2 linked regions of the Caenorhabditis elegans genome follow. The protein of the gene in region 1 purifies or fractionates together with the protein of each later gene. This does not show direct contact. Each region holds a gene or a part of one and is shown in the gene's direction. Other genes may lie near its edges. The genes, in order: nfyc-1 and nfyb-1.

Region 1 (4,114 bases):
AAGGAAGTGAAATAGACATATTTAATTCTTCTTCTTTTTCTTAAACTCATCAATGATGATTTGAGTGTGTCGCTGCTCCCGTTTTGGAATTCTAACGCATTTTATTGGAGAAGAGATTTCAAACAGTTCCAGACGAGATTCGAAATCTTTCGGTAGCTCCTCCGGGCGCCAATTATCCTAAAAAAAGATTTTCTGGAATGTTTTTGTGTGAATTGAAACTCTCGAATGACGCAAATAGCCGATCTAATTATATTATTAACGAGCCAGACATTTTGTGTTTGAATGGGGTAGTGGCATTTCCGAGTATAAATCTCATTCCAGAATATATCAGCTCAAACCTTTTCTTTTTCCAGCTCAACTCTAACTGCTTCTTGTTCCTCCTGGGATATGCTCACTGATTTCAGGTCCTCCAGTTCTGTATACTTGATGGATCCGATACGAGCGATTGCAGATTTTATACTGGTGCTCGCCATTGCTCTGAAACGAAAATTTAATTGAAAAGCTTCATTTTCTATTTTCTTTGAAAAAAATCGAACAATTTTCGACCTTTTGTGGGTTTTATTCAGGATAAATTGAGAATCTTTACACGAAAAGTGCCTTTGTGCCAAATAAAATTGAATTTTTTTTTTGAAAGTCTGGAGAATCGAAAAATTACTATAATATTTCGCGATTTTTTTTACGAGGCTCGTCATTATTTGGGTCTACAAATATTATTTATCGAGAAATCTACTCCATGTCAAGAACCAGCCAAAAATAATTTATGATTCGGATCTTCTTTTTTTACACGGAAACATTGAAAACGGGATAATGGTTAAAAGATGCAAACGGGAAAGGTCCAATAAATACGAAAAAATCAATTAGACAGGTTTATAGTCGAGCTTCGTCTCAAGTCTCTTCGCGTCTCCAACCTTGCGAACAGCTTTCATAAAGTCCTCGTCGATAACGAATTCACGCTCAGCACGGATGGCAAACATTCCTGAAACAAAAATGATAATTTGAATGCAATTTTTATGATTCAACTCCTCACCAGCTTCTGTGCACACATTTCTTAAATCAGCAGCCGAGAATCCGTCGGACAACTTGACAACAGCTTCAAAATCTATTTCGCCGTGTTTGGTGATCTTGTTCGAGTGAATCTTGAGAATTTCCAAGCGAGATTGTTCGTTTGGCAGTCCGATTTCAATCTTTCTATCAAGTCTTCCAGGACGAAGAAGAGCAGGATCCAATGTATCAGGACGATTCGTGGCCATAATAACCTTGACTTTTCCAAGCGAATCGAATCCATCGAGCTGATTGAGAAGTTCCATAAGAGTTCTCTGAATTTCACGATCTGCTGATGTTCCTTCTGAGAAACGTCTTCCACCGATCGCATCAATTTCATCCATGAAGACAATGCATGGCTGATGGTCACGAGCATAATTGAACATTTCTCGAATCATTCTTGCAGACTCTCCGATATATTTATCAACAATAGCAGACGAGACAACTTTCAGGAAATTGCAATCCAGTTGCGATGCTACAGCACGAGCAAGGAGAGTTTTTCCTGTTCCCGGTGGACCAAAAAGCAGACATCCTTTCGGGGGAGTGATACCAACACGTTTAAAGAGTTCGGGATTGATGAGTGGGAGCTCCACAACTTCACGAAGCTCGCGAATCTGCTCAGCGAGTCCTCCGACATCTGAATAGCTAATGTTACCAGGATCTTCGTGAGACATTTTGTAGACTAGCGGATCAACTTCACGTGGCAGCTGACGCCTGAAACATTTCGGTTTAAGACTTTTTGTTTAAAAAACTAAAAGCTTACATGATAGTAAGAGTTGTCATATCCAACGAAACTCTTGTCCCTTGCTTCAACTCTTCCTTGTTAATACTGCGACGGCATCCGACAACATAACGAGGACCATTGGTTGCCTTGACGATGAATTTCTCTTCACTGAGCTGCTTGAGCACTTCTCCTACAATTTGTCCAACAGATTGCAACGACTTGATATCGTTCTCGGATTTGTCAAATTGTTTGGTCATCTCGCTTTCTTTTTTTCGCAAGTCCTTCAACTTCTGTTCAATGTCACGGCACTCTGCCAATTTTCTTCTATAGCTGTTGAGCGCCTTAGTGCGTTCATCCTCTACGATGGCGGGACCAGTTGGTTCAACCATGTTCTGGAATTCAGAAAATATCTAGTTTTGAATGAAAACATTTTTTAATCTGTATAAGATGTAAAAATCTGAAAAAACGAGGTTCTCATGAGGAAAGAACGTCAGAAATGAAAATCAGAATTGAAATTGTCATCGTGTCCAACAGAGCGCAGTTGATCGAGTCCGCAATCTTCCGCCTCGGTGTACGTGCACACAATGCACAATATTTCACGACAGAAGAATAGTGTTGTTTTAATTTATTTTTTTCTAATTAGTTTAAAGTTAATTTTTCTTGCATCTGCCGTGATGTCGCAATTCCCAGAAGTTTTAGACAATAATGTAAGTAATACAATTTAAAATTTTCGACTTCCCAGCAAATGTTTCATTTATTTCAGCTTTTACACGCCGAAAACAACGAAACTGCCGAATACATACAAAATGATGGGACAAATCAATCAGAAGTGTTCATGGAACATCCCTACACGGTGAATAAAATCAACTCGTTTTAAAAACTTATTTATTTTATTTCATTTTAGCCGAACATGCATCCAATAAATATGCCTTCTATTGTAGAAGGTGCGGTTCATCCTTATAATAATTTAATCCATCACAATGATGCGATACCACCGGCAAAGTACGCCTCGATGAGACAAATGACAGAAGATTTCTGGCGTGAAAAAAAACAGAAAATGACTGAGATTTCTGAAGAGGATATGCTGAACAAGTCGAAAAACATGAGCGTTCCCATGGCTAGAGTGAAAAAGATTATGCGAATAGACGACGATGTTCGCAACTTTGTGAGTAGTGTCATTTTCCAGCCGATCTTCATACACTTTTTACAGATGATCGCGTCTGATGCTCCGATATTTATGGCTCAAGCAGCCGAGTTTTTCATTGAAGAAATGACCGCAATGGGCTGGCAATACGTGTCAGAAGCAAGGCGACGAATTCTTCAAAAAGCCGACATAGCAAGCGCAGTGCAAAAAAGTGATCAGTTCGATTTTCTCATCGACTTTCTACCTCCGAAAACGGTGCCAACAACTTCCACAAACGGCCCAGGCCATATGAGTGAAGACAGTTTCCAAGGTTTTCGGTTTTTTTCCTAAATATGATTTTTGTGCAATTTTTAACCTTTTATAGATCCCAACATGCATTCCGACTTTCACCAGAGAACTTCAAATTCTTCAGTCAACCGATCTCACCACAATTGATCTTTATAATAATATTTTCTTGCTTATATTATGTATTAAAATTAAGTTCGTGGCGCCTGGCGCCCTTTAAAAGCTTGAATTTATACCTTTTTTGTCTAAAAATACTGTGTTTCATATGCACATTCATATATTTTCTTATTTCTTTGTTTTTCATTTTACAGGCTTTTACTTTGAAATCTTTAAATTTGAGGCGAAATGTGGTTGTCAAGTGAGGAGCTGAGTGCGAAGAAGACGGCTTGCCACGTGAGAAATGTGGAATCCAACAAAGAATTTGCAGATTCTGATATCGTTGCCTCATTCGTGCACAATCGGCCAAAAGATTTGAAAAACGTTTGTTCTAAAGCACCTTCTTTCAAATGAAAATAAAAATCCATTTTAGCTGACATTCGAAAGACACGGAAAAGGAGGACGTAAAAAAGCGCCAATATTCAGCGTAAAAGGAGATATTAGCGAGCATGTTGTAGAAGTTGGGGCAGATGTTAATTGTCTTGATGAGGGATTCGATTTTGCTGTTGCTTTGGTTGATAAGGTAATTTTGAGTGTATTTTAGCTAACAAATTCACTCTTTCAAAGGCTGAGTACCGAAACCTGAAAAATATTTTGGTACTAGTTCTAAATCACCCCGCCACTTTTTTTCTTTTTTTTCAAATAAAAACGTGTGGAGTTTTTGTATTTTTAGGCTTAGGAAATAGCCATTTCTAAGCCTAAAGATGGAAAATGGACATCACGTTTTATTAAAATGAATAATATTAAAATGAGGGGAAATAATA
Region 2 (8,548 bases), 420 kb from region 1:
AATTTTCTTTCAGTTTTCCTCTAATTTCTGTTCTAAATTATAAAAATTATCGATTTTTGCATTAAAAAACCGGAAAATCAATAATTTGGCAATTTTGAACCGAGAAAAAGTTGAAAATTTGCCTATTTTACACTGAAAACTCTAAAAAAGATTCAATTTTCTTTCAGTTTTCCCGAATTTCTGCTCTAAAAACTAAAAATTATCGATTTTTGCAGTATAACATCTAGAAAATCAACAATTTGACAATTTTAAACTGAAAAAAAGTAAAAATTCGGCCTTTTTTATTTGAAAACTCAAAAAAATCTTATTTATTCCTCTAAAAACCAAAAATTATTGATTTTTGCTATAAAACACTCGGAAAATCAACAATTTGACAATTTTTAATAGAGAAAAAATTAAAAATTTGCTTATTTTACACTGAAAACTCTAAAAAAGAATATGTTTTCTTTCAGTTTTCCCGAATTTCTGCTCTAAAAACTAAAAATTATCGATTTTTGTAAAAAAATCTCAATTTGACAGTAAAAACTCATATTTCACACTGAAAACTCCAAAAAAACTCAATTTTCTTTCAGTTTTCCCTTACAAAAAGCACAATTTGGGTTGTATCTACAACGTCATTGATCGCCTTCCTTCCATACATTATCGAAAAGGAACGAAGTGATTTGGAAAAGACTCAAGTGGCTCAGCAACGTCAAATGCTTCTCGGACCATCTGCGGCCATTCAACAAGCCAAAACTGCTTGAAAAACTTGATTTTCTCGCCGAAAATCCCCCTTAAAACCGTCTGAAATTGATCTTTTCCTAGATTTTCCCCTGTTTTTCGTCTTCTGATAGCTTTTTTTGCGATAGAATTCATTATCATATAAATTGTTGATTTTCTAACATTTTTCAAGGATTTTTCTAGCACAATATCCCGGTTTTTTCATCCAAAACTTGTATTTTTATCGATTTTTTTGACGTTTTTCACTTTTTCCAGGTAAAAATCCGAATTTTAAGCTTTAAAAAGCCTTAAAAAACACAAAAATTGCAAATTTTCGCGCTGAAAGTCGCATAAAATTGAATTTTTATAATTTCTGTTCGAAAAATCTTCAATTTTTCGCTGAAAAATTTTTTCCCTGGCAAAAATTCAAATTTTGGGTCTGCTAGGCTACAAACTACAAATTTCGATTTAGCAGACCCGATTTAGAAGAAAAAACGAAGAGTTTTCAGTCTAAAAAGCTTGAAAAATAGCCTTAAAACTTGATTTTTTCGCTTTTTTATTGAAAAAAAACAAAATTTATCATTTTTATCCCAGAAAATCGCTGAAAACCCCGAATTTCGCCTATTTTCTTCGTTTTCACCCAATTTTCTTCAAATTTTCGCAATTTTCAGCTCATTTCCATTATCTAAATTTTTTGCAGCACTGTATTCGGGTTATTTCATCCAAAATGCGTATTTTTATCTTTTTTTCTTGTAGTTTTTCACTTTTTTTCAGGCAAAAATATATGAGACATCGAATTTTAAGCTTTAAAAATGCTTAAAAACACAAAAATCGTCAATTTTTGCACTAAAAGTCCCAAAAACTTCAATTTTTCTAATTTTTATTCGAAAAATGTTCAATTTCTCGCTGAAAAATTGCTTTAAAAAAATTTAATTCTGAAAATTTTTGGTCTGCTAGACTACAAACTACAAATTTCGATTTAGCAGACCAATGTGATTTTTAAGAAGAAATTACGAGTTTTCACTTCGAAAAGCTTGAAAAATGGTCTTGAAACTTGATTTTTCCTGTTTTTTAATCTAAAAAATTAAAAATTTAGCATTTTCAGCTCGGAAAATCGCTGAAAACCCCGAATTTTTGCTATTTTTCCTTGTTTTCACCTTATTTTCTTCAAATTTTCGCAATTTTCAGCCCGTGTCCACCGTCTAAAAGCTCCCAAAATGGATCCAAAACCCATAAACGAAGGAATGTTACTGGAGGATCATGATCATGGAATGCCTGAAGAAGAAGAAATAACAGAAGATGATATGAATGGAATTCATAATATAGAAGAGGATACACGAACAATTAGTGAAATAGCAATGGAGCTTCATCATCCGAATAAAAGTCAAGTTTTACTTGATCAGGAACGATTTTTGCCAATTGGTATGGGAAAACATGCGGAAATTTTGATGAAAATCGATAAATTCCCGGAATTTTACACGAAAAATTGAAATTTCTTGAAAAATCTAGACTGAAAAGTGAAAAAATTCATAAATTTCCGATAAAAACCGCCATTTTTTCTAAAATTGCCCTTTAAAATGAAAAAATATCACATGGGTCTGCTAAATCGAAAATTGTAGTTTGTAGTCTAGCAGACCAATTTTGTTCAAAATCACTTTGGTCTGCTAAATCGAATTTTGTAGTTTGTAGTCTAGCAGACCAAACTTCTTCAATATCTATTGGTCTGCTAAATCTAAACTTGTAGTTTGTAGTCTAGCAGACCAATTTTGTTCAGAACAACAATGGTCTGCTAAATCGAATATTGTAGTTTGTAGTCTAGCAGACCAATTTTTTACAATTTTTTTTTCAAAAACATAAATTTTCGACAAAAATCGATTTTTTTTGTAATTTTTTTTTCAAGAATTGAAAGTTTCTCTGCAAAAAGGCATCAAGCTCGAGATTTTTCAATTTTTTTAAAACAAAAATCGTTGAAAATTCTCCAAAAATCCCAATTTTTTCAGCTAACGTGGTCCGAATCATGAAAACTCAAATGGATCCGCAGGCGAAATTGGCAAAAGACGCAAAGGAGTGTGCTCAAGAGTGTGTTTCAGAGTTTATAAGCTTTATCGCTTCGGAAGCCGCTGAAATATGCAATATTACGAAGCGGAAGACTATTACTGCAGGTAAAACCGGGAAACTCCGTCTAAAATTACCCGCAAATCGTCCAAAAACTACAATTTTCGCATGGAAAACCTTTTTAAAAACTCAAAAACAGCCCAAAAGCCCAAAAAACCCTAAAAACCGCAATTTTCAATATAAAAAAATTTCCAGACGACCTGCTCACCGCGATGGAAGCCACAGGATTCGACAATTACGCGGAGCCAATGCGAATTTTCCTTCAAAAGTACCGTCAGGCTCACAAGATCACTGGACCAATTCACAGAACACACCCAGACTACGTACGGCCTCCACAATTTCAAATGGATCCTTTTGTTCGGCCATTATTCTTCGATACGGAGCAAGGACGCAGATGTTCGTGTGTGAAAATCGGAAAATTTTGCCTGAAAATAGATTAAATTGATGGAAAAATAGAAAAAAAAACTGGAAATTTGACTGGAAATGGATTAAATTTATGGAAAAAATAGTAAAAAACTAGAAATTTCACAGAAAATAGACTAAATTAGTGGAAAAAAATAGAAAAAACGAAATTTGACAGAAAATAGACTAAATTTATGGAAAAAATAGTAAAAAACTAGAAATTTGACAGAAAATAGACTAAATTTATGGAAAAAAATAGAAAAAACGAAATTTGACAGAAAATAGACTAAATTTATGGAAAAAATAATAAAAAACTAGAAATTTCACAGAAAATAGACTAAATTTATGGAAAAAATAATAAAAAACTAGAAATTTCACAGAAAATAGACTAAATTTATGGAAAAAATAGAAAAAACCGGAAACTTGAAATTTAGACTAAGAATTGTTTTTTTTTCAAAGATTGAAGTACTGAGAATGATGATTTTTCATTTAAAAAAATTGTCAAAACTCTGAATTTTTTGCTGAAAAATATTCAGAAGCCGAAATAATAGTAAAAAAACGGTGAAAATTGCATTTTTTCCACATAAATCTCAAAAATTCATTTTTCAGTTTTTTTCAACTACAGTATCCTTTGAAGTCATAGAAAAAATTACAAGATTCGCAGAAAACTCGAAAAAATCATAATTTTAACGCTAAAAACTTAAAATTCAGAATTTTTGGCTTTTAATTTCGGCTTCTGAGTATTTTTCAGCAAAAAATTTAGAGTTTTGACACATTTTTAATGAAAATTATCATTCTCAGTGCTTCAAGCTTTGAAAAATTAATGGGAAGAATAGTAAAAACCTGAACAAAAATGGTTTTCTCTGGAAAAATTCCTAAAAATTTTTTTCAGAGCTTGAAGCACTGAGAATGATGATTTTCCTTTAAAAATTTGTCAAAATTCTAAATTTTTTGCTGAAAGTTGCACAAATTCTTAATTTTGAATTTTTAGCGTTAAATATATGATTTTTTCGAGTTTTCTACGAATCTTGCAACTTGTTCTATGACTTTCAAGGATACTATAGTTAAAAAAAAACTAATAATGCATTTTTAAGATTTATATGGAAAAATTGCAATTCTCACCGTTTTTTTCCCAAAATTTTGAATTTTTCGCGAAACTCAGCAGCTTTGCATAGTAGTTTCAAGCGACTTTTTTTCGGAAAAATACCGAAACTTGCTCTGAAAATGCCATATAACTCCTATAAGGATTACTGTAGTTTCTCTACAAAAATAAATTTCTGTGACTCATGTCCTTCTATCCAAATTGATGGCTGGAATATCGGTATTCTCGGCTGAAACATGCAATAAATACCGTATTCCAACCAACAATTTGTGCAATAGAGCACATTTGTCACCGGAGATGCGGAAGCTATGCCCAAATTTTCAATTTTTCTAGGAAAATGATGAAAAAAATTGCAATTTTCCAGGTACCGAGACTCAATACGTGATAAATGGCAGTGAAATTGTGAAAAATGCTCCATTGGGAGAAGAATGGAATGAGCAAACTGGTACATTGAATACCCGCGCAGATGGATATTATATGGAGGTGAAAATTGGATTTTCTGGATGGAAAACTGTGGAAAAATGGATTTTTCCACTAAAAACCTGAATTTTTAACTCAAAAATTGATTTTTTTAACTCAAAAATTGAATTTTTAATTCAAAAATTGAATTTTTAATTCAAAAATTGAATTTTTAACTCAAAAATTGAATTTTTAATTCAAAAATTGAATTTTTAACTCAAAAATTGAATTTTTAACTCAAAAATTGATTTTTTAACTCAAAAATTGATTTTTTAACTCAAAAAATTCGATTTTTCAGGAGCCAATGGAGCCGATGCCGATGGAAGAAGTAGAAATTGAAGAACACGAGGAAATTATTGAGCAAGATTCACTTGGAGCCATCGCCTTGGAGCAACAAGGCCAAATGCAGATTTATGTGGATCCAAAGACGAAACAACATTTTGCAGCGAAAGAAAGTACGGAATTTTTTATGAAATTCTGAATTTTCCAGCGTGAAAATTGGAAAAATTGAGAAAAATCGATTTTTTTTTGTGAAAATTCCGGAAAAATCGAAGTTTCGCCGATTTTGTGGCGTTTCCAGAAAATTTCTCATTTTTTTCCTTAAAAATTAGAAAAATTAGATTTTTACAGCACAAAAAAAACAGAAAATTGAAATTTTCTTGATTTCCAGCTCAAAAATTGGAAAAAATGGTTTAAAACCGATTTTGAACGGAAAAAATCTAGGAAAATCGATTTTTTTTTTGGTGAAAACTTCAGAAAAAATCGAAATTTCGTCAACTTTTGTGGATTTTACTGAAAATTCCCTATGTTTGCCGTAAAGATTAGAAAAAATTGGTCCAGATTTGATTTTTACAGCAGAAAACTAGAAAATTCAAATTTTTTTTGATTTTTAGCATAAAAACTCGAAAAAATTGGTTTTAATTTGATTTTCTACCTGAAAAATCCGAGAAAATCGATATTTTCCCGATTTTTATATTAAAATTTGTGAAAATTGACATTTTCTCGATTTTTCTGAAAACAATTGTGAATTTTCTCGATTTTCTGTCAAATATCTAAGAAAATGTTTTTAAATAATTCCGGAAAAGCAAATTTCAGCTCCGAATGGCATGGAACTCTACCCTCTGATCATCCAGGACACCCCACTGCAATTGGAAAATGTTTCTGGGCCAAATGTACGATTTCCAGCACTTTTCACAGCGAATTTCAGATTTTTAGTGCGAAATTCGAATTCAGCGCCTCAATTTACCCCCAGAACCCTGTTTCCCCGTCTTCTAGCTCAACATTTTGAATATTTCGGGTTACTGTAGCCCCAAGAGTACGCAAACACCGACTACTGTAACCCAAAGCACCAGATTTTACGGCATTGGCGAATTTCGAGCTGAAAATTGATTTGACGGGGTAAATTGGAGTGCTGAATTCAAAAATCGTATTTAAAATTTCAGAAAATTTGATTTGAAAATCGGAAATTTTGAAATTTTCAGACAAATTTTTTTTTGGGCAAAAACCTTGTAATTTTGAAATTTTAATGCGAAATTCGAATTCAGCGCCAAAAATTACCTTCATTTTCCTTTTCCCCGTGCTTCTAGCTCAAAGTTTGAATATTTTGGGTTACTGTAGCCCCAAGAGTACGCAAATACCGACTACAGTACCCCAAAACACCAGATTTTACGAAATTTGCGAATGTTGAGCTGAAAATTGATTTCCCGGGGTAAAATTGGAGTGCTGAATTCGAAAATCGTATTGAAAATTTCAGAAATTTTGATTAAAAAATTTTTTTTGTTCGAAATTTAATATTTTTTCAGCAATTCGTTATGAATATGCCAGATGGACGAGCAATACCCCACGGAATGGGACAAGAAGAGCCTCAGCCAGTGTCAAGTAGCTCAGTTATGCGGAAAATCGGTAAAATATTGCATTTTTTAGTGATTTTCTGTTCAAAAATGCTGAAAAATGGAGATTTTACTGGTTTTAATGGGAAAAAATCAAGTTTTTAGCATTTTTGAGCCATTTTAATCGGGAAAAAAGTGATTTTGAAGCATTTTAACCCCAATTTTCCAGTTTTATAAAATGAATTTTCCGATTAAATAAGTGTTTTCATGTATTTTCAGCTAATTTTTAGTCTTTTTTAATCGAAAAAACTGATTTTCAGCCAATTTTTCTTTTAAAAAAAGTGATTTTAGGCATTTTTGGCCTATTTTTACCTATTTTGCATATGTTTTTTTCAGAAAAATGAAATTTTTGCACATTTTCAGTCAATTTTCCCGATTTTCAGGTCAAAATCCGTCTTCCTATGCCCAGCAGCACCACCACGTCAGCCACGTGGAACAACACGATGACGTGGAATATGAAGAAGAAGAAGAAGTAGATCAAGTAGAGGAGGATACAGTACCCGTTCCAATCGCGCCGAGACCCGCAGCCACCCGAGTTCAGCCGAAACGAACGCCGACGAAGAGGAAAAAGTAGAGAAAATTGCAAAAAATGATAATTTCTCGATTTTTATTGTATTTTTCGCATTTTTTCACCCTGAAATCCCAACTTTTTGAGGAATTTTTAAAATTTTGCACTGAAAATCACCATTTTTACCGAATTTTTTATTGGATTTTTTCTCATTTTCCCTCAAAACTGAATCTGAAAACTGCAATTTTTGCAAAAATTCAATTTTCCAAAATTTTCCATTTTTCATTGATCTCCATCGTATCCATTTCCTTGACAACTTAACATATACAATTGTAATTATTTTTGAAATATTTATTCATTTATTTATTTATATCTCTAATTTATTGCAAAAAAATAAATTCAATTATACCCCAATGCCTCAGTTTTCACTTAACCACCAAAAAAATTCGTTTCAAATCGATTTTTCAATTTTTCCACACTTTTCCCATTGAATTTCAAATTTTCAATGCGAAATTCGAATTCAGCGCCTCAAATTACCCCTATTTCCTTTTTCTCCCGGCTTCCAGCTCTAATTTTAAGAAAATTGGGGTACTGTAGCTCCAGGAGTACGCAAACACTGACTACAGTACCCCAAAACGCCTGATTTTACGACACTTGCGAATTTTGAGCTGAAAATTGATTTGACGGAGTAAAATGGGGTGCTGAATTCTAAAATCGTATTAAAAATTTCTGAAAATTTTTATTTGAAAATCTGAAATTTTGAGATTTTCAGAGAAATTTTTTTTTGAGGCGCCAAACTTGTAAGTTTGAATTTTCAATGTGAAATTCGAATTCAGCGTTAAAAGTAACCCTATAGTCCGTTTCTTCCGGCTTCTAGCTCGAAATTTTAAAAATTTGGGGTACTGTAATCCCAAAAGTGCGCAAACACCGACTACAGTACCCCAAAACGCCAGATTTTACGACATTGGCGAATTTTGGGCTAAAAACTGATTTGACGGGGTAAAATAAAGTGCTGAGTACGAAAATCGTATTGAAAATTTTTGAAAATTCGATTTGAAAATCTTAAATTTTGAGATTTTCAGACAAAATTTTTTTTGGCAAAAAACTTGTAATTTTGAAATGTTTAATGTGAAATTCAAATTCAGCACCTTAAATTGGCCCTTATCCCCGGTTTCCCTGGTTTTCAACTCAAAAATGAGAAATTTTGGGTTACTGTAGCACCAAGAGTACGCAAACACCGACTACAGTCCCCCAAAACACTTGATTTCACGACATTGGTGAATTTCAAGCTGAAAATTGATGTGACGGGGTAAAATAGGATGGTGAGTTCGAAAATCGTATTGAAAATTTTTGAAAATTCGATTTGAAAATCTT

Evidence for each region.
Region 2: the proteins of nfyc-1 (region 1) and nfyb-1 purify together in Caenorhabditis elegans (affinity purification with western blotting, with the first as the bait; one study listed by BioGRID). This does not show direct contact.

What each region holds. Positions count from the first base shown.
Region 1 is NC_003280.10:41,506-45,619, forward strand, and holds nfyc-1 (Nuclear transcription factor Y subunit nfyc-1), read left to right. Parts: upstream 1-2,401; 5' UTR 2,402-2,439; coding exon 2,440-2,472; intron 2,473-2,528; coding exon 2,529-2,618; intron 2,619-2,669; coding exon 2,670-2,930; intron 2,931-2,975; coding exon 2,976-3,219; intron 3,220-3,273; coding exon 3,274-3,344; 3' UTR 3,345-3,412; downstream 3,413-4,114. Other genes in the region: F23F1.10 (Reverse transcriptase domain-containing protein), read right to left, coding at 22-177, 339-473; rpt-4 (putative 26S proteasome regulatory subunit 10B), read right to left, coding at 858-976, 1,028-1,755, 1,805-2,157; rpoa-49 (RNA polymerase I associated factor, A49-like protein), read left to right, coding at 3,540-3,674, 3,724-3,873. UniProt on the Caenorhabditis elegans protein: Component of sequence-specific heterotrimeric transcription factor (nfya-1-NF-Y and nfya-2-NF-Y) complexes which specifically recognize a 5'-CCAAT-3' box motif found in the promoters of its target genes to regulate their expression and control cellular identity in particular tissue types.
Region 2 is NC_003280.10:460,705-469,252, reverse strand, and holds nfyb-1 (Nuclear transcription factor Y subunit nfyb-1), read left to right. Parts: upstream 1-1,887; 5' UTR 1,888-1,916; coding exon 1,917-2,121; intron 2,122-2,347; exon of another isoform or gene 2,348-2,404; intron 2,405-2,699; coding exon 2,700-2,861; intron 2,862-3,009; coding exon 3,010-3,210; intron 3,211-4,682; coding exon 4,683-4,801; intron 4,802-5,075; coding exon 5,076-5,232; intron 5,233-5,872; coding exon 5,873-5,949; intron 5,950-6,579; coding exon 6,580-6,679; intron 6,680-7,049; coding exon 7,050-7,240; 3' UTR 7,241-7,586; downstream 7,587-8,548. Other genes in the region: tomm-22 (Mitochondrial import receptor subunit TOM22 homolog), read left to right, coding at 573-743; W10D9.3 (MKRN2 opposite strand protein-like C-terminal domain-containing protein), read left to right, coding at 8,494-8,496.